Linked DNA regions of Mus musculus: all the other regions are reported to be linked to region 2. The links are microRNA targets in miRTarBase. Many come from high-throughput screens and were not tested one by one. Region 2 holds a microRNA gene; each other region holds the end of a gene's coding sequence.
What was found. The annotated mature microRNA mmu-miR-466p-5p reads UAUGUGUGUGUACAUGUACAU and lies in region 2 at 1,729-1,749, shown strand. An mRNA with a match to its seed (bases 2 to 7 or 8) in the 3' UTR can be bound and repressed. Matches are read on the target gene's strand: a 7mer-m8 pairs with bases 2 to 8, a 7mer-A1 pairs with bases 2 to 7 and ends in A, and an 8mer does both.

Region 1 (5,000 bases), not on the chromosome of region 2:
TTTTCAGTTTCTGGGTATATTTTGCACTTTCAGTTTCTTAACATATTTTGCACTTCAGAGTGTGTGCATGCCCTGGCTGAGCCATCTTGCTGTCCCAGCTGTCAAACTTTGAGTAATGTGAACGGCCCTCCACCTGAGCGCAAGTGTGGCAAGCTTGTGTCTGGTGTCCATCTCCCTGTTCCCTCTGGCTGACTTCCCTCCCTGCTCAGTGACTCTCGCCCTCCATGGAGAAGTCACCCAGGCTGTGGGGTAGCACTGATCTCAGTCTTTGCCTTGCAGAGATGCTGAGGATGCGATCTATGGAAGAAACGGTTACGATTATGGCCAGTGTCGACTCCGTGTGGAGTTCCCCAGGACTTACGGAGGTCGGGGTGGGTGGCCCCGTGGTGCAAGGAACGGGCCTCCTACAAGACGGTCAGATTTCCGAGTTCTTGTTTCAGGTATGTTCTCACCACTTTGCTGAACGAGAGTCTAGCCTTCAAGGAAGTGTGTGGCTTAGTGTTGAGGACGTGGGACATGCTGGCTTCTCAGGAGCCAGTGCACCCGGGCAGCGGAAAGCTCTGCCCTGGTTAGTCAGGGAGGCAGACATTGTACGGATGAAACCGTGCAAGTAATGCAGCCTATGTGGGACGGAAACCTACTGCTCTTTTTGTTCTGAACCAGTCTCTGTGTAGTCTTAGAACTCACTCTGTAGACCAGGCTGTCCTCGAACTCACAGAGATCCCCCTGCCTCTGCCTCCTGAGCGCTGTGATTAAAGGCGTGTGCCACCATGGTCTGAGAAACACGTTTCTTAGAGTGCTTTCTTACTGGTGAGAGGCCAAGATGGTGGGAGAGCACTTGCTCCAGAGTTCTTTCCTCTGGGAATGTTCCTTCCTAGACATCACAGGAGCCAGCTGCACGCAATGTACAATCGTGGGCATGGCATTGGAAGGCATAGAGCTTTTATTTATAACTGGTGTCACCAGATGACGTGCCAAGTGCTCAGCTCAGCTGTGTCTTTAAAATATCAGTGCAGTGCCAAGACCCCGGGCAGGGCCCTCTGCACGTCACAGGGCAGTTGAGGGGCCCTTCTAGAGTGTGACAGTCCCACAATCATAGTCATGTGTACGAGTGATGGAATCTGTCTCCCTGTGTTCCTCTGTAGTTTTTAACCCTAGGACTCCACTCCCTCCTTCAAGATGTCATACATTATCTTTTTTTCTCTCCATGCTGCTCTGAACTCCTGCTTAGAAAACTATTAGGAAATGGCTGCAGTCCCGAGCTGTGCGCAGCAAACACAGCCTTTGAGAGCAGGAGCACATTTCCCTTTCATGACACCAGGTAGGGTCGTATGACTCCCAACTAGCTTTAGCGTCTGAGTGTCCCCTTCCCCACTGTAGTGAGGAGTGTTGTTCTCTTAAGGAGGTATTCTGTGCTCTGTCAGCCAGTCATGCTGTAAAGAAACAAACAAAACACGGACTCTTGTGCTGTTCCCTTGGCTGCACTTGGCTTTTTTCAAAACTCTCATGTCTTGGGAAAAATAAGTTCAGCAAGAAATACTTGGTACTAATAAGTTTCCTAATGGATAAAACCTGGAACTAGGTTTGGGGAGTGTCACATTGATTGTGAAGCACAGAGTGGTAAATTCTCAGAGGTTGAAAGCCTGTGATAGGCGGATTTGTTTGCTTAGTTGGGAGCTTTTTTGGTCTCTGGACAGTTAACTTAGACCAGCTTCTCACAGTGGCTTACCATATATACTTCAGTATATTTCTCTGGTTCTCTGCCCCATATGCTTTGTGACTTGGGAACCCTTAAGAATTAAGTGACCACAGAGCGTAGACCACCGTAGGCATAGCCAGCTCTCATAGGGCATTTAGCACGGCTGAGGTTGTGGTCTTCTCTTCCATTCTCTGCCTAGGACTTCCTCCATCAGGCAGCTGGCAGGACCTGAAAGATCACATGCGAGAAGCTGGGGATGTCTGTTATGCAGACGTACAGAAGGACGGAATGGGGATGGTTGAATATTTGAGAAAAGAGGACATGGAATATGCTCTGCGTAAACTGGATGACACCAAATTCCGCTCTCACGAGGTGGGTTCCTGCCTTCCATTAAGTCTAATTGACCAGCAATAATAGCGGGTCGTACTTTTTTCATTTGATGATGTCACTCTACCTTAAAGCCTGTCTAGAGTGAACAGAGCTACGGGGGTTGCTCTGCTTATAGCCTCCGTTTGAAACGGAGAGGACGGGTACCCACCTCCGTGTGACAGTGAACGTTGAGGGAGGTGACAATGCCAGGCACACAGTGAGTGCCAGGGCTGGGCTTTGCTCGTGCCTCTGGGTCTTCACTCTTCCCTTCTGTTTGTTTGGATTTCAGGGTGAGACTTCCTACATCCGAGTGTATCCTGAGAGAAGCACCAGCTATGGCTACTCACGGTCGCGGTCTGGGTCCAGGGGCCGCGACTCGCCATACCAAAGCCGGGGCTCGCCACACTACTTCTCTCCTTTCAGGCCCTACTGAGGGGGTGGGAAGGAAGGGTCTCTTCAGTTTTTTAGATGAGCTGGGCTACTTTGTGCTCAGAGTCTACATTCCAGATTGATTAGAGTCTTAGGACATTTTTTTTCTTTTCTTTCCTTTTATTTTTATTTTATTTTATTTTTTTTATTTTAAGGAACTACATAATTTCGGCTAGAGCCACCATACTAGCAGTGACCTGTTAGGCTGCAGAGAGAAGGTGTGTCTGTGGTTCAGGAACAAGCTGTACATTTTTCACCCTGACTATGGGACGGAAATCAGTGCTGCATCTTCATGGGCTGCTCTGCTCGGAGATGGGGCCCGAGGGGCCCGTTTTGTTCAGAAATATATTTTAAATGTTTAGTAATTGGCGTGCAGTTGTCTTTGATTGAGTATGTAGGTTTCATCTGATAGGTACTGACCAAAGAGAACCATCATTTGAGTTGTCATGGAAGTTTGTAAGGAACAGAAACTTCATCACTCTGCCAGAGTAATGGTGGCGATTGTAAAAAATCAGCACCAAAGGCAGACTCTGTTTTTTTTATTTTAAAGGTTGGTTTTTATTTACATGTTTATGCCGCGTGTGTGTTAGTGCCTACAGAGGCCAGAAAGACAGCATCAACCCCTGTGGAGCTGGAATTGCAGGAGGTCATGGGTCACCTTGAGTTGAGGTGGGCACCAGAGCCCGACTCAGCTCAGGATGAAGAACAGGAGGGTTTGTTTCTTTGGTTTGATGTTTTTCTTTCTTTCCATTTTCTTTTCCAGAGAGGGTTTCTCAGAATAATTCTGGCTCTGTAGACCAGGCTAGCCTTGAACTCAGGGATCTGTTGGCTTTTGCCTCCCAAGTGTTGGAATGAAATGAAAGACACGGAGCCACCATACCTGGGATAGGAAGGTCTCTGAATGACTGAGGGATCTCTGACCCAGACTCGGAGTTCTTACAATTCAGATCTGGCATTGTAAACTGAACTCTCCATAATAGGAGTTCACTGAGGTGGCTCAGGCCTCCAACCCCTGTGCTTGGGAGGCTGTAGCAGGAAGATAGCTGTGTGCTCAAGGCCAGCCTGATGTACAGAGAGGCCTATCTGAGCAACAAGAAAAGGGTGTGTGTGTGGGACACAGACATTGCAGATAAAGGGAAGAGAAAGAATGAAGACGGGCCTAGGGCTATTTTTAACAAGTTCTCTTTTCAGAAAGGAACTATTTGGCTGGTGTTCATATTGCATGGTATGTGTGTGGGGGTTGGGTGTTCACGTATACTGTGTGTGTGTGTGTGTGTGTGTGTGTGTGTATGTGTGTATGTTGTTCATGGACTGAGTGCAAGGTGGAGGTTGGATGGCCTTCTGAGAAAGAAAGATGGTTCTGAATTAGGAGTTCCCGGCTGTAGTTTACTTTGATACTACTCAAACATATCCATAAAACGAGCCCTCTGGTAGGCATAAGGTAGGTACCCAGAAACAGATGGTGATGTGCTGGCTCTGAAGCCAGTGGGAAAGCAACTAAAAAGAACTGATTTGTCTCTTCATCTCAGGTCATCTGTCTCTTACACCTAAACAGAAAAGTCCACATAGATATTTTGACAAGGTAGTGTTTTTTAGGGGCAGAGGAGGGAGGAAGTTGTTTTTCAGACAGAATGAGTCTGAGTATTTGATCCATTTCCTTGGAAGCAGGCTTGTGGTTTTCTGCTAGCTGGGTGTTGTCCAGTTGTCTTCGGATCAATTACCAAGAAACTGTAAATCCAGTTTATACTAGATAGAGTTCACAGTAGCAAATGACCACCCTTGTGAGTCCACCATGTTGACAGGGTGCCCCTTCCCCAGAATAGCTACTCTGCTGTGGAAGAAGGAATCTTGTTTACCATGTCTGGCAAGGAAATATTACCTGTTTGAAAAATAAGAAGAACATTAGAGTTGAGCCTGATGTCCAGCTGGCTCTCCTAAACTAACTGGTCACTTGGATTTCACGGAGAACTGGAAGTAAGTATTGGTGCCGTCCTTCTTCCTAACTCTCAAGCATCAGTTAACGGTTCAGAGTGAAGCCAGATCCCTGCTGTTCAGTGCAAGGAACAGATGCAGGTAAGAGTGAAAGACAGACTAAACCTCTGTCAGGAGCAAGGTCCTGTCTGCAGTGTGATCCGTTGGTACACATGATGAAGTAGGAGGAACTACTGGCCCTGCCATGGCAGGGTTGTAAGGATCTTTAGCCAGCCAAGGCAGACAGCATGGTTAGCATAGAGTTCCGTCCTCCCGCTCACAGGGTTTATTGCTGACTGCTGGCAGCTCTGAGAACTCATGCACAGGAGACAAGAAGTTCTAAACTGTGTACAGTGAGCCTGGAAATGCAAGTTGCTATATCAGGGATTACAAACCATGGCTGGCTGGCATACTTACAGGTATGTTTCTGCTGGCCTGTGTGGCACTGTTAAGTCTTATTTGAATTGATTGCCAATAAAGTTGAGGAAATGCCAGACAGATGTCATATACTTAATTTCCCAAGCAAATAGGC
Region 2 (5,078 bases):
GTTCTAATTCATGCTTTACTTCATGATGACTTAGAGATATGCCTGGGATTCATGTGATGCCCCCTATGTATCTCTATCTGTATCTGTTTCTATTGTGTGTGGATTTGAGTATATGGATGTACCTATCTACACAAATATATACATGTACACAGACACAAACAGAAACACACACACAAACATCAGTGCAACTCATCGATCCATTTGAATGATATGTGATTTAGAGTTTTAAGATTCCTCAGTACTGAATGGGGAGAGGTCTCACTCAGCAGGTGAAATCCCTTGACAGTGTCAGTTGGATCAGGAGTTCAAATTCGTGCTGAATTTCATGATGAGTTCATGATTAGCATGGGATTCATCTTATGCCCACCAAAAATGTGCAAGTGTGTATAGTTGTGTGCATATTCACTTCTGTATATGAATATGCATATACACGCATGCACACACATTCATAGGAATGGCCAGAGCTATGTCTCAGTTAGGAGGTGAGCACTCTTGCCAGAGTCAGGAGGATGACGAGTTCAAATTCATGTTTAACTCACATTGAGTTAGAGATCAGCATGCGATTCGTGTGATGTCCTCCAAATATGTGCATGTGAGTATAGTTGTGTGCATATTCACTTTTATACATGAATATGCATATATACTCATGCACATACACGAATGTCACTCATATATTTTTTTGAATGTTATGTGACTCAGAGATTTAGAGCTTATGCAGTACTGGTCCAGAGCTATGCCTCAGTTAGGAGGTGAATACTCTTGCCAGAGTCAGGAGGATATGAAGTTCAAATTAATGTTTAACTTCATGATGAGTTATAGATAAGGCTGTAATTTATGTTTTTGCCTCTGTGTACGTGTATATGTCTATAGGTAAGTGTGCTTGTACATGTGGGTATATGTATATGCATATATATACACATATATGGACACATACATGTGTACACAAATACACATGGCAATCATCCATTTGATTTATATGTGCTTAGAGTTTTATAGAGTGCATATTCATGGGACAGGAAACATCTCATTAATCAGATGCAAACCATTTGCCAGAGTCAGGAGGATCTGGAGTTCAAATTCATGTTTAACTTCATGATGAGTTAGAAATCGTACTGGATTTATGTGATGGACCCTAGGTATGTGCATGTGTGTGTAACTTTGTGTGAATGTACATGTATGCATATAATTATACATATACATACACATGCATGCACACATACAGACTTGAATACTCACACACATAAGTATGACTCTCATTGATCAATTTGAATGATATATGTCATTGAATTTTATTGATTATGAAGTAGAAGGACACTGAATGGTCTCACTCAACAGGTGTAAAAAATTGACAGTGTCAAGAGGATCAGGTGTTTAATTTCATGCTTAACTTCATGAAAGAGTGGTGCAATGTGATGGTCCCTATGTATGTGCCTGTGTGCATAAGTGTGAGCATGTATATGTGTGTATATTTTATGCATATACATACACACACCTATATACACATGCACACAGACATGCGGGAATGGCCCTCACGGATCCATTTGAATGATATGTGACCTACTGCTTTGGAGGTTATGTATGACTGGGCCAGAGTGAGGTCTCACAAACCACGGGAAAACCCTTGGTAGAGTCGGGAAGATCAGGAGTGCAAGTTCATGGTAAAGGCATGATGAGTTAGAGGTCATCCTGGCATTCATGTGATTGCCCCTATGTATGTGTATATGTGTTTATGTGTGTGTACATGTACATGTGTGAATATGATGATATATACATACACGCACACATAAGACACATATGAGCACACAGACACACAGGAATGGCACTCACTCATCGATCTATGTGACTGTGAGCTTTGGAGATTATGTATGACTAGATCAGGGAGAGTTATCACCCATCATATTAAAAATGCTTGTTTAAATCAGGAGGTCAGGAGGTCAAATTCATGCTTTATTTCATGATGACTTAGAGATCTGCCTGGGAATCATGTGATGCCCCCATGTATGTGTATATGTGTGTAACTGTGTGTGGATTTGTGTACATGAATATACATACCTACACACACGTAGACCCATACACAGACACACATATGAATGCCACTCCTCAGTCCATTTGAATGATATGTGACTTAGAGTTTTAAGATTCCTCAGTACTGAATAGGGAGAGGTCTCACTCAGCAGGTGAAATCCCTTGCCAGAGTCAGGTGGATCAGGAGTTCAAATTTGTGCTGAATTTCATGATGAGTTGGAAATCAGCACGGGATTCATGTGATGCCCACCAAGAATGTGCATGTGTGTATAGTTGTGTGCATATTCATTTCTCTATATGAATATGCATATGCACACATGCACACACATTCATAGGAATGGCCAGAGTTATTTCTTAGGTAGGAGGTGAATAATCTTGCTAGAGTCAGGAGAATATGGTGTTCAAGTTTATGTTTAACTTCATGATGCATTAGAGATCAGCATGTGTTTCATTGATGCACACCAAAATGTGCATGTGTGTGTAGTTGTGTGCATATTCACTTCTCTATGTGAATATGCATATACACACATGCAGACACAGGAATGGCACTCATATATCCTTTGGAATGGTATGTGACTCAGAGCTTTAGAGCTTATGCAGTGCTGGGCCAGAGCTATGTCTCAGTTAGGAGGTGGATGCTCTTGCCAGCGTCAGGAGGTCCCAGAGTTCAAATTCATGTTTAACTTCCTGATGAGTTACAGATCAGCCTGTTATTCATGTGATTGTTTCTGTGTATGTGTATAGATAAGTTTGTCTGTACATGCGGATATATGAAAAGACATATATTGACACATATTCACACATGCATGCATACAGAAACACATGGCAGTCATCCATAAGTTTTATATGTGCTTAGAATTTCATAGAGTGTATATTTATGGTACAGTGAAATATCTCGCCAACTAGATGAAAACCGCTTGCCAGAATCAGAAGTCTTGGAGTTCAGAATCATGCTTAACTTAATGATCAGTTAGTGATCATCCTGGATTCGTGTGATGGACCCTAGGTATGTACATGCACACATAATTTTGTGTGCATGTACATGTGTGTATATGATTATACATAACACACACACACACACACACACGTATAAAAGCAAGCACACACACACCAAGGTATGGCATTCATCGATCCATTTGAATGATATATGTCTTAGAATGTTACTGATTATGCAGTAGAAGGACAGTGAATGGTCTCACTCACAAGGTGTAAACAATTGGCATTGTCAGGAGGATCAGGAGTTCAATTTCATGCTTAACTTCATGAGCAGTTAGAGATCATCCTGGAATAATGTGATGGCCCCTATGTATGTGCCTGTGTGCATAAGTGCGCGCATGTATATGCGTGTATATTTTATGCATATACATACACACACCTACACACACATGCACACAGACATGCGGGAATGGCCCTCACGGATCCATTTGAATGATATGTGACCTACTGCTTTGGAGGTTATGTATGACTGGGCCAGGGTGAGGTCTCACAAACCACGGGAAAACCCTTGGTAGAGTCGGGAAGATCAGGAGTGCAAGTTCATGGTAAAGGCATGATGAGTTAGAGGTCATCCTGGCATTCATGTGATTGCCCCTATGTATGTGTATATGTGTTTATGTGTGTGTACATGTACATATGTGAATATGATATCCATATACATACACGCACACATAAGACACATATGAGCACACAGGCACACAGGAATGGCACTCACTCATTGATCTATGTGACTGTGAGCTTTGGAGATTATGTGTGACTAGGTCAGGGAGAGTTATCACCCATCATGTTAAAAATGCTTGTTAGAATCAGGAGGTCAGGAGTTCAAATTCATGCTTTATTTCATGATGACTTAGAGATCTGCCTGGGAATCATGTGATGTCCCCATGTATGTGTATATGTGTGTAACTGTGTGTGGATTGTGTATATGAATATACATACCTACACACACATAGACCCATCCACAGACACAGACACACACACGCATGCCACTCCTCAGTCCATTTGAATGATATGTGACTTAGAGTTTTAGAGATTCTGCAGTACTCAATAGGGAGAGGTCTCACACCACAGAGTCAGGTGGATCAAGAGTTCAAATTCATGTTTAACTTCATGATGAGTTAGAGATCAGCATGCTATTCATGTGATGACCATAAAGAATGTGCATGTGTGTATAGCTTTGTGCACATACACTTCTCTATATGAATATGCATATACACGCATGCACACACACTCACTCACAGGAATGGCCAGAGCTATGTCTCAGTTAACTTACCAGGTAAAACGCTTGCCTTTTGGATCAGCAGTTCAAATTCCTGAATAACTTCAAAATGACCTAGGGATCAGCCTGGCCTCATGGCATCCTCCCCCCATATATGTGCATGTGTGTATAGTTTTGTGTATATGTACATGTGTGTATACAAATATACATCTACATACAGACAAACATAAACACACAGGCACGCACACACACACACACACACACGCGCACACACACAGAGGAATGTCACTCATTGATCCTTTTGAATGACAGGTGACTCAGAGCTTTAGAGATTATGCAGGGCTGGGCCAGTGAGTGCTCTCACTCACAAGGTGAAAATGCTTGCTTGCCAGACTTTGGATGACCAGGAATCAAAATTCATGCTGAACTTCATGATGAGTTCGTGATCAGCTTCGGAGTCTTGTGATGACCCTAGTATATATGCCTGTGTGTATATGTATGTGTGCATGTACATGTGTGTATATGAATATACATATACATACACACATACCCATACAAACATGCATACAAACACACAAAAATTGGCACTCATCCATCTATTTGAATAATTAGTGACTTAGAGTCTTAGAGATTCTGTATGACTGGGGCTGACAGAGAGAGGTCTCAGTCACCAGGAGAAGACTTGCTAGATTCAGGGTGATCAGGAGTGCACATTCATGTTAACGGCATGATGAGTTAGAGATCAGCCTGGCATTCATGTGATGCCTCCATGTATGTGCATGTGTGTATAGTTGTGTGTGGATGTGTGTATTTGCATATAAATAACATACACACACAC
Region 3 (5,000 bases), not on the chromosome of region 2:
ATTCTTAAATTTCATCCTCTAGGTAGGTAGTCCTTGGGCCTTCCTTTGCTCTTTCTTAGTTTCGGTCACAGAGCTAGAGACAGATCCATGGCCTCATACATGTTAATGAAGTGCTCCATCACAGGGCTGTTCACTCAGCCCACTGTTCCTTATCAATCCTGTCACGATTTTTATAGCACCCACACGGATGAGGTGTATGATTTCTCTCAAATACCTGTGCTTCTCTACCAATTATCTGAGATGCCATGGCTTGTTTAAGGTATTACCACCCCACCACCAGCCTTTGCCCATATGCATTCCTTGATCCAGAAAGTTCTAGTCTAATTATAGCTTTAAAATTTCGGTCAGAGACAGACAGTTAAAACACAAAACTAGATTTTTAACTTAGTAGGTCATGGTGTTTCTAATTACTTCTGAGAACATAGCTACTTTGCCCGTTTATGAAACATGACTTGTGATTTCTTTCAAACTTTAACTATAAAGATGTTGTTACTAAAGACAACCATCTTATATACAATCACATAAGCATACAGAAATTTATTTAGTGTAACTAAATGTCCCTCCAGGTAACCATACTAAAAGTGGATCAATGTGATGCCATTTTTTTCTGTAGTTTTTAATTTGATTTAGTTAACTTTAACTTTGAGTTATGTGTACTACTGTGACAATTTTTTTCAGTCAAACTTCTAATAACACTTTTCTGTTTTAAGATCAAAGCCATTGGCCAAACAGAATTGAATGCAAGCAACCCTGAAGAAGTATTACAGCTGGCAGCACAGAGAAGGAAAAAGAAGTTTCTACAAGCAATGGCAAAACTTTACTTTTAAGCAGTTAGTTAATTTTTTTTCAATTTTATTTTTTAAACAGTGGGCTAAAAGTAAACAGTATTAAAAGATTAAGTTTATATAATACATATGTACAATTTAGTGGTGTTTTCTTTTTAGACCAAAACAAACTGAAACAAATTAGTTTATAAACAAATTATACAAAAACTTCATATCTTAACAATAGTTTATAATTTCTTCAAAGAGAGACAAGGTTCATGCCTGGTACCATTTTTTTTCTAATGAAATTAACTTTTTTAGGCCCAAATTTCCTTTTCAAAGGCTAACTTAAAATATTTAATGTATAAGTAGCTATTCTATATACAGCAAGTTTAAATAAATAAATTTCTAGGAGTAAGTATACATTTAATATTTTCTGCCATAAGAAAATAGTTTAGGTCATATGTTAAAGTTTTTTCATGTTGACACAGTCCTCATCTCATAATATGGGGCTTAAAAATGGACCACCAGTTTTGCAAACATAAAGCGCCTTAGAGATATCTTAGTGTGCAATAAAGTGACTTTCTTATATAGTTTGAAAAAGTGTTTAATTTTACCCAAATTGTGATACACAAAAAGATTATAAAGCAACCTTTCTATCAAGTAAAACCCCCGAGTAGAAGAAGCCAAAGCATTTATATCTTGTTTATAATTTCTTTGGTTCTCCCATTTAGAGCACAGTTTAAACATTTGGTTCAGTGCCTTACTGATTAAGAAATATGGCAAGGCAGACAAACTAGTTCAAAACAGATTGAACTTTACCATTCATAAAATTCAAGTTTTATCGTTTGTTACAAACTGCTTTAGATAAATTAGTCACTTTATTACAAAACAACCTTTGTAAATAAGCTTAAAATTTATTTTCAAAAACAAATTGCACCATTCAAGAGTATAGGAATTTAAGAATATAAAATCTAGATTCAAAGTTCTGTGTCAGCTAATGTATCCTTTAAGGTAGCACTAGTTTAGTCCATATTCCAATGATAAAATTCCTAGTTCATCAAAAGAAATACAGTAACACTGAATTTTAAAGAAACACAGTAACAAACAGAAACAACTGCTATAGCTTAAATTGTTGGCTTCCATCCACTATCCTTGGGAGTGAAGTCACCTTTGTAAACAAGTTCTCTTTTATAGGAAATACTTCTTTAGTGCCAATTTTTTGAAGTTTTTGTTTTGTTTCCTTTTGTAGTGCTGGGGATTGAACCCAGGATTTTGTGCATCCTAGGCATTTAGTGCCAAATTGATATAGTTTTTAAGTAAAAGAATGGCAGTGTAACTCCTTAGACAAGGATAGTTACAGCACTACTTTTCTGTAAAACTCATTTATATGAAACTATCCATTATTTGTTCAATTCCAGGTTGTTAACTTCAGTGTTTTCCTGGTGGTTTTTCAGTACTCTTTGGTGGTGTCATAATGCCTCCATTACACACTGGTGACAGCTGCCCTCCTTTTCTGTAGATGTTCACATAGTTTACTTCATTCTGTACATGTGAAGAAATTATTCAGTAATTAACAGTTAAGATAAACTAAGTATGTAGTAATACCAGACCTCTACCAATTTTTTCTATCCAAACTTAATTTTAGAGTCTCTATCTTTGTTGGGGGCTGGGGGGTGGTACATACCTTTAATCTTAGCACTTGAGAGGCAGAGGGATCCCCGAGTTAGAGATCAGCCTTGTTTATTTCAACAAAACTTTCTAATTTCTTATCTGGGCTGCTGGTCTTGATTTTAAGCTGCTTAACAGTAATATTTTTCTTGAGATAGGGTCTTACTATGTGGCCTGGGAACTTATGATCCTCCTGCCTCAGCCTCCCTAGTACTAGTTAGTGTGCATCCTAGGCCCTTATCATCAAGTCTGCCTTAATTTAGTTATCTCCCTTATATTTTAAGTCAACATGGTCATTACTTTCCCATTTATCATCTTAAATAACTGTCTTAAGTAGTAATGCACAGTAGTTTCAGACCTTAGATAAACTTTGCTAACTTCTACCCCATTAGTTTCAGGACTTAACTAAATAGCACGATTTTTAAAAACAATGAAAGATAAGGCAGCAAAAAAAAAAAAAAAAAAAAAAAAAAACAACCTCCCATAAAACACATAAAACAAAAAACCATACCAGCAAAGCCAAATAATTTGTGTGTGTCTGGATATTGTGTCTATCTTCCATGGGTATCTTCTTAAAAGTCTTCAGCTTCACTGGACTCACACTTTTTACAACACTAACAAAAGGCACCATCCAGTCTACACATTCCGAGATGTCATCCCATTCCAAACCTAGATTTAAAAAGTTAATACAATGTTAATCAAACTGTTCCTTACATGACGTTAAAGCTGAAAAGAATTAATAGTTTTCTCAAGGGTCATTCTGTAGCACAGGTTGGCTTCCCTCTTGATTTGGCCTCAGTGCTGGGATTATAGGATTTGCTACTCATCTGACTCTCTTGAGGGTAGGTGTTTTTTGTTCTTGTTTTTTGCTTAAAGATTTATATTTATGTGAATGTGTATACATGTACACAAGTGCCCAGAGATCAGAAGAGTGTTAGATATTCTGGAGCTAGAACAAGATATGAGGGCTAGGAAACAAACCTGGGTCTTCTCCAAGAACAGTATGTGCTTTAAACCACTGATCCATTTTTCCAGGCTCACTTCTAAGCTTTTAAACCAGTTTCTATTCATACAAATTAAAATTGTGGTATTTGATTTCCACTTGGCTGGGAATTTATTTTCTTTTATGACTATGGAAATACACTAAGGGTTAAGTACTTTTAGCAAAATAAAAATCAACTAAATTGTTTTATTTTGTGTTTGGTAAGGTATTAAGGTATCTGTAGTTCCATTAAAAGTTGTGAACAGCCGGGTGTGGCGGCGCACGCCTTTAATCCCAGCACTCGGGAGGCAGAGGCAGGTGAATTTCTGAGTTTGAGGCCAGCCTGGTCTACAGAGTGAGTTCCAGGACAGCAGGGCTACACAGAGAAATCCTGTCTCAAAAAACCAAAAACCAAAAAAAAAAGTTGTGAACAGGTACAAAGTCAACAAAATAGTCTTACCTGAAGCTTTCTTAACCACTTCAATGGAGGTAAAATGACATAAGGCGGCAGCAGCCAGAATTCTGTATTGAAATTCTAAAGAGTCGATGGCTAGAATGCACAGATCTAAAAGCTAACAAGGAAAAAAAAAAAGGTAATTTAAGAGAAACATAAATGAGTCCCTATTTTATATATAACTATAAAGTAAATAAGCTACCATCCAGACTCAGAATTGCAGGAAAGGGAGTAAGTTCTAGGAGCACAGTGATAATGTTAGAAGGGTGAGCACTTCATCTAGATTGGAAAAAGCTTGTGAGGGCTTTTGAATTAGGTAACGGGCTAGGCCAGAAAATTGGTGAGAGAGAATGTTTGAAACAGAACGTTGCCAAAGGTAATAATTCTCATGAAATAATAAGCAAGGAAAACCTTTGTTCCTTATCCAAGGTGGGCAGTGGAAAGCAAGGAAATCTAGTAGCTTTGTTACATCATACAGGACCTTTACAAGTTGGAGCACTACTACTTAAGCCCACTGTGGGATTTTAAATCAGCAGTTTCATTTTTAAAAGGACGCAGTAAACTAGACAGACTAGGATGCAACATTTTATTTTATTTTATTTTGGTTTTTCGAGACAGGGTTTCTCTGTGTAGCCCTAGCTGTCCTGGAACTCACTCTGTAGACCAGGCTGGCCTCGAACTCAGAAATCCACCTGCCTCTGCCTCTGCCTCTGCCTCCTGAGTGCTGGGATTAAAGTCATGCGCCACCACGCCCGGCTTAGAATGCAACATTCTTAGCAACTAGCTAGGTAAGTGGTGTATTATCTTGGTAATGCAGGAAGAGTAGTAGTTGCACAGCCAGATTTCAGAAGGTTAAGCTGATTTCCTGTCCATTGAATAAAACTTAGTATTTGTACTCACACATCAGGTAAGAAGGTGGTAGAAACTGGAGGAGTTGCAAGTGAAATACTACCACAGATTATTATCTAAGTAATACTTGAGACCAGTATTTTCAAATCTGGATGTTTGGAATCTTAAAGTATTTACAAGTATGTGAGATCTCTTGGGAGCTGAAACTCATGTCAGAACTCAATTCACAAACAAATATCCTCAATTTTATAGAATATTTTTAATGTGCCTGTTTTCTTTG
Region 4 (5,000 bases), not on the chromosome of region 2:
CAGGGTTAACTGGATAGCAGAAATGCAAAAAGACCAAATGGAGCATCCAAGATTCAAAGTTAATACGAAAATCCCTCAGGGACCATCATCTCCTCCTGCACTTGTAATGCACTCTCCTCTTCAGAAGATGACTGTAAAGAAACAGCAGAAGTGGAAAATCCCTCCTTGTATTTCCAAGTGGAAGAACTCTAAGGGGTATACCATTCCATTAGATAAATGGCTAGCTGCTGATGGAAGAGGACTTCAGATGGTCCATATAAGTGAAAAATTTGCCAAACTGGCTGAAACACTATACATTGCTGATCAGAAGGCTTGAGCAGCAGTGGAAATGCAAGCCCAAGTAGAAAGTAAGATGACTCAAAAAGAAAAGAAGCATGAAGAGAAACTTAGAGCAGTGGCCCAGGAAGCCAGAGACAGGAATGCTGGGCTCACAACCCATGTGGAAAGAGAGGATGGAGAGGCCCGTGAAAGGGATGAAATCCATCATGACAGATGAAAAGAGGCAGGCAGCATGACCGGATCCTTTCCAGGGCAGCTCCTGATAAGAGGTGGAAACCACAGAGAAATGAGAATCAAACGGTGAAGCCACTGCTCTAGGTGTGCCTAATCCTTCAACTTCCATTTAGTCTTAATAAGCTTATGCTATTAAGAATAATATTCCTGGAAAAGAAATACATAGGAATTAGCCCGATGGAGATTTTTAAAGTACTTTAAAAATACTTAGAAGTATTTTGATTAACATTAGTATTTTATGCTATTGAGGCTTATTAACAAAGTTTTAAATAATTTTTCCTTTAAAGTCCATTTCATCTTATCATTAAAAAAGTTCAGTATGGTTCTAGTTTAAAATCTTTATGTTATTAATGTAGAATGACAATTTCAAAGAGAAATAAACTTGCTAAAAATAAAATTAAAAGTTTGCTTGCCATATACAATGGTGTGTTTAAATACTTAAAAGTATGATCTAAATGCTCAGACTGTTATTAGAAGCAAATATTTCCTTTCATTCGTGTGTCAGAAGACTCTGCTTTAAGGGTCTGCCAGCACTGTCAGTTCAAACTGTGAAGAGTGCAGCTCCTGTAGTTACTTGTGTGTTCACTGCACAAAACCATGCTACCTACAATGTTATGCACATCTTACGATCCTTTTCTCAAAAATAACGGCAACATCCTCATCCCAACACTGTGGAGCTTGGAACACTTTTGAAATTGAACACCAATCAATCATTAAGTAATGGAAAAAAACAAGATTAGCTATAGGTAACAGAATGCAGAGTATAATTAGGTAGGCTAAATTTCATTTTTTAAAAAGCAACTTTGTTAATTTCTAAAAAGCTGGGAGACATGTAGCCAGGCAGTGGCCCTCACTCATGCTTGGTGTCCATCTCATTTCCTGATCAAAGCCACTTTAATGAGAAATAGGTACCAGTCCTCAGCAGGGGCCAGGATCCCTCAGGGGAGAGGGCAGAAGATGCCTGGGATCCAGCCCACACTACAGAGGCTAGGCAGAAGGAAGGAGGCAGCCACCTACTAGCACCCCAGCCCTGCAGGGTCATCTCAGCACCCAGGCCTCTCCCCGTGGCTGGGGCAGCCCTCCCCCCCCTCCCCCCAGGTGCATCTGCCCTCAGTTCTTTCTGTGTGATCTATTTTTTAAGAAGAGTTTGTGTTATTTTTTCATAATGGCTGTAGCAGCAGCTGCTGGTTTTGTTTTAGGTGGATGGGGCTGGGAGGGCCATTTCTTCGCTCTGCTTCAGTTGAACATCTAGGACGTATTAAAACAGTGAAGCTTTTCCAGGGCATTTTGAATATGGAAGAGAATCTGAGCAGACGCCCGCAGGACTAAGACTGAAGAGGCAAGGTCTACTTGCCTTGGCTCAGTGACCGTGACAGGAATGAACCCAAACTCAGAACAAGAAAATCAATTCTGTGCCTCCCCCAAAATAAAAAAGTTGTGGGAGATCTTGGCGGATAGTATAACAGAATGACATCTGTACTAACATTTAGGAAGAAGCTGACAGGAGCCTTCTTCAAGCAGAGAGCTGACTACAGCTGATGTGCAGAATTGCATACAGTTTAATAGTGATACAAGTTAAATCACTGAAACGGACTGATCCACTCAGAATGCGTCCTAGGCACTGGAACACATTTTGGTCTGACCCATGGACATGAACACAACTGGGGGAGTTCCTATGAAACATGACTTAAAAAGAATTAGAAAATTCTTACCTCTGGCCTAAATTTTTATCCAAATATCACTATTTTGTTACCATGCAAAGCACCAACCAAATAAAAGTGCCTCCTGATGACTACTCTTACTATAAAACACAGTTCATCTGAAGCAAGCATGACGTCTTCCATCAAGAAAAGATTCATGAAACTGAAAACCTGGGGTGGGGGTGTGGCTCTGTGGTAGTTTAGTAACTGATCACTGCGAAAATCAACAAACAAAAACAAAATAAAATCAATAGCAACAACAACAACAAAACAAGAAGCCTTACCAATATCAAAAAAAGTTTTAAAAGCAAGACTTGTCACCACTAATCACGGTCTAACCACAGCAGTTCACAGTTTTAACAGAGGAAACACTACTTACTATGAAGGCATTCCCTTTAGTAAGCCCAAAACAGACTTTTAGCCAAATGCACTCCATAAATTGATAATTATTAACTGTATGTTTGGGTAACAGAAGACTTTGAAGAGTAGTAAATAACCATTAGTCTCATTTGGCAAATGGAGAAAAAGAATATGATCCTATATATATCGTTATCTTGTTCCTACAGAAAACAGTGTACTTACAGAGTGTGAAACGGAGCTATAAGCTGAAAACTAAAACTTCTAATTCAGAACAAAGAGAAACTACTTGTGAAATTAGTGGTTAACCTTTTGAAAATCTCTAAATGTATGACTATGTAAAATACTAATCAATATATTTAACCTGTATACATATGTGTGTGTATATATACACACACACACACACACACCTTTTCATGTAGAATGAATGAAAATAAAATCTGTAAACACAGTTTAAAGTCCTAGTAAAGAAAGTTTTGACAGAATCACCCTCAGTACACGCTAACTCTGTCCTGCACTATATGAGGTGTTCAGTTCCTTTTCAGTCTTTCATGGAATTAGACCTTTTACTCATTTGAAAAGTAAAAGTATTTACAATTATTAGTGCAAATTATTCTACACTCAAATTAGTTATTTGCCTTTATGGATAAAAAGTGGCAATTCAATACATTATCAAAATGTGGGATTATGAAAATACTGGGGTTATCAGTCTGAAATTCAAAAGATTGTTTTCTAAACTAAACTGCACATTTTTATTTAAGCAATAAACATAATTGTTATAGAACATCTTTTGAAATGTCACTCATTGTCATTTAAAAATTATTTCACAATACAGAAAATACAATGTATCAGTCTACAACACTCCCTTTACATGTCAATTCTAATATAAAATGTTTGAACAACAACAATCTCAATAAATTCTGAAGTCTTACTCTCTAACCTTTCCTGTTCTGCAGCAATAAGTAAAGTCCCAACCTGAGAACTGAGAAGATGGTAACAAAATACCAAGTGCCACACAAACACCAACAGACACTTGAGGTCTCCCACTGCCATGATCTAGTACATCAGAGAAATGGAGCAAGCCACAAAACATCCTGAAGTCAACAGCACCACCTGCCCCGTCCTTGTGATTTTGTGCAAATTCTATTGCACACTCAATATTGTTACAACACTTGCACACTTATAGAATTCTCCACATAAAGGATGTTAAGCTCACTCAATTGAGCCCTCCCTCACTACCAATAAAACATTCCTAATGAAAGGGAGAGTATACACAGGAATGTCAGAATCCAAGAATAAATCATTCCTTATGGAGACAGCCAATTACAGTGCAAGATAAAATGTTCACAATTTAAAGGAAAAATATCTTGAAGACCTGTAATTCCTCAGCAATCTACTACAGAAAAGTAAGCAGGTCTTGTTTAGGAAAGCAGAGTTGGATGACAATGCATAGTATTTTATTTTTACGGGGAAATGTTCGCTATAACCGGTTATCAAGTTCAGTCTTTTTAAATGAAGCTGAAGCACACTACTGTAAAGCTTATCTCTTCCATGATCTTCAGCATGGATACGCTGTGCCACATCCCAGGGAAATGAGAACTCAAAAAGCAGCAACAAGTTTATGCTTCCGACTCTCTTTTTTTCCCTTCTTCTCCCAAATCACTCTCCTCTGATTGGCTACTGCTAAGAACAAGCTGGCCCTCACTACCAGCCTGGTTTGGTCTACTGGAGGCAGCTATCAACCGACTCTGTTCTTCCAAGTCCTGGTGGAAAGATAAAGAAAGAAACTAAATTTAACTGTCAGCAGTCAGATAAAAAACTATGCAGTTTCCGATGGAGCTCTACTATACATGAGAGCTGTTCCAATCTTGTCACATGCACTCATTCTGATAACCTAATGAAAAGAAAGGCTAGATGCAACAAATGAAAACACCAGCATGAATTTTGGCACCATTTGAATAATCCCAAAAAGCAAACATGCAAAAAAAATAATTAAGAAAGAGCAAAGCCCCCCTCCTTTTGTGGCTAATAACTGAGTTCTGACTGTCTTCTCTCATACACCACTCTGCACCCACTATACACTCTTCAGGTCTTCTCTACTCCTGCCCTGTTTATCTTGCTAAATCAAGTGTCACTTCCCCTCTCCTAAGCTGCCCTTCTTTCTGTGCTGTCTTTGCCATTTTCTCTTCTCAGCCCTGTACCCAGCTCACTTCCAGTTCCTGTGTTCTCTTCACATCCATGTTCCCCAGTTACCTTCTCTCTTCTTTCTTACCATCGATGCCACGCCCTTGAATGACTCTTTCATAGGTTTGATCCTTAGGACCAAAACCTCCTTTAAAAGTGTGTTATACATTTGGTCTCTAATACTTTGTATAATCTCATAATCACAGTTCTATGTCATGTGAGTATTTTATATTTTAGACTTTTTAC

Region 1: miRTarBase lists Gatc as a target of mmu-miR-466p-5p. Seed matches in the 3' UTR shown: 8mer at 3,786-3,793 and 8mer at 3,724-3,731.
Region 3: the mRNA of Ints8 is a reported target of mmu-miR-466p-5p. The part of its 3' UTR that is shown has no 7-base or 8-base seed match.
Region 4: the mRNA of Appl1 is a reported target of mmu-miR-466p-5p. Seed matches in the 3' UTR shown: 8mer at 2,944-2,951.

What each region holds. Positions count from the first base shown.
Region 1 is chr5:115,330,219-115,335,218 of GRCm38, forward strand. It overlaps Gatc (glutamyl-tRNA(Gln) amidotransferase, subunit C), which reads right to left. Exons shown (of 3, transcript NM_029645.3): 3 at 3,024-4,376. The coding sequence ends at 4,321. Srsf9 (serine and arginine-rich splicing factor 9) reads left to right here. Exons shown (of 4, transcript NM_025573.3): 2 at 280-440; 3 at 1,899-2,071; 4 at 2,358-2,862. The coding sequence ends at 2,501. Among named protein-coding and RNA genes, the nearest start is that of Srsf9, 5.5 kb to the left of the region's middle.
Region 2 is chr2:10,504,292-10,509,369 of GRCm38, forward strand. It overlaps Mir466p (microRNA 466p), which reads left to right and starts at 1,715; the gene lies at 1,715-1,803. The region is part of intron 10 of Sfmbt2 (Scm-like with four mbt domains 2); the gene reads left to right. It overlaps Mir467e (microRNA 467e), which reads left to right and starts at 1,430; the gene lies at 1,430-1,516. Mir467d (microRNA 467d) reads left to right here and starts at 3,339; the gene lies at 3,339-3,423. It also overlaps Mir466, Mir297c and Mir669c.
Region 3 is chr4:11,200,294-11,205,293 of GRCm38, reverse strand. It overlaps Ints8 (integrator complex subunit 8), which reads left to right. Exons shown (of 27, transcript NM_001159595.1): 27 at 711-2,366. The coding sequence ends at 827. It overlaps Ccne2 (cyclin E2), which reads right to left. Exons shown (of 12, transcript NM_001282943.1): 10 at 3,878-3,989; 11 at 2,947-3,104; 12 at 515-2,309. The coding sequence ends at 2,196. Among named protein-coding and RNA genes, the nearest start is that of Ccne2, 11 kb to the right of the region's middle.
Region 4 is chr14:26,919,539-26,924,538 of GRCm38, forward strand. It overlaps Appl1 (adaptor protein, phosphotyrosine interaction, PH domain and leucine zipper containing 1), which reads right to left. Exons shown (of 22, transcript NM_145221.2): 22 at 1-4,333. The coding sequence ends at 4,190. Among named protein-coding and RNA genes, the nearest start is that of Asb14, 27 kb to the left of the region's middle.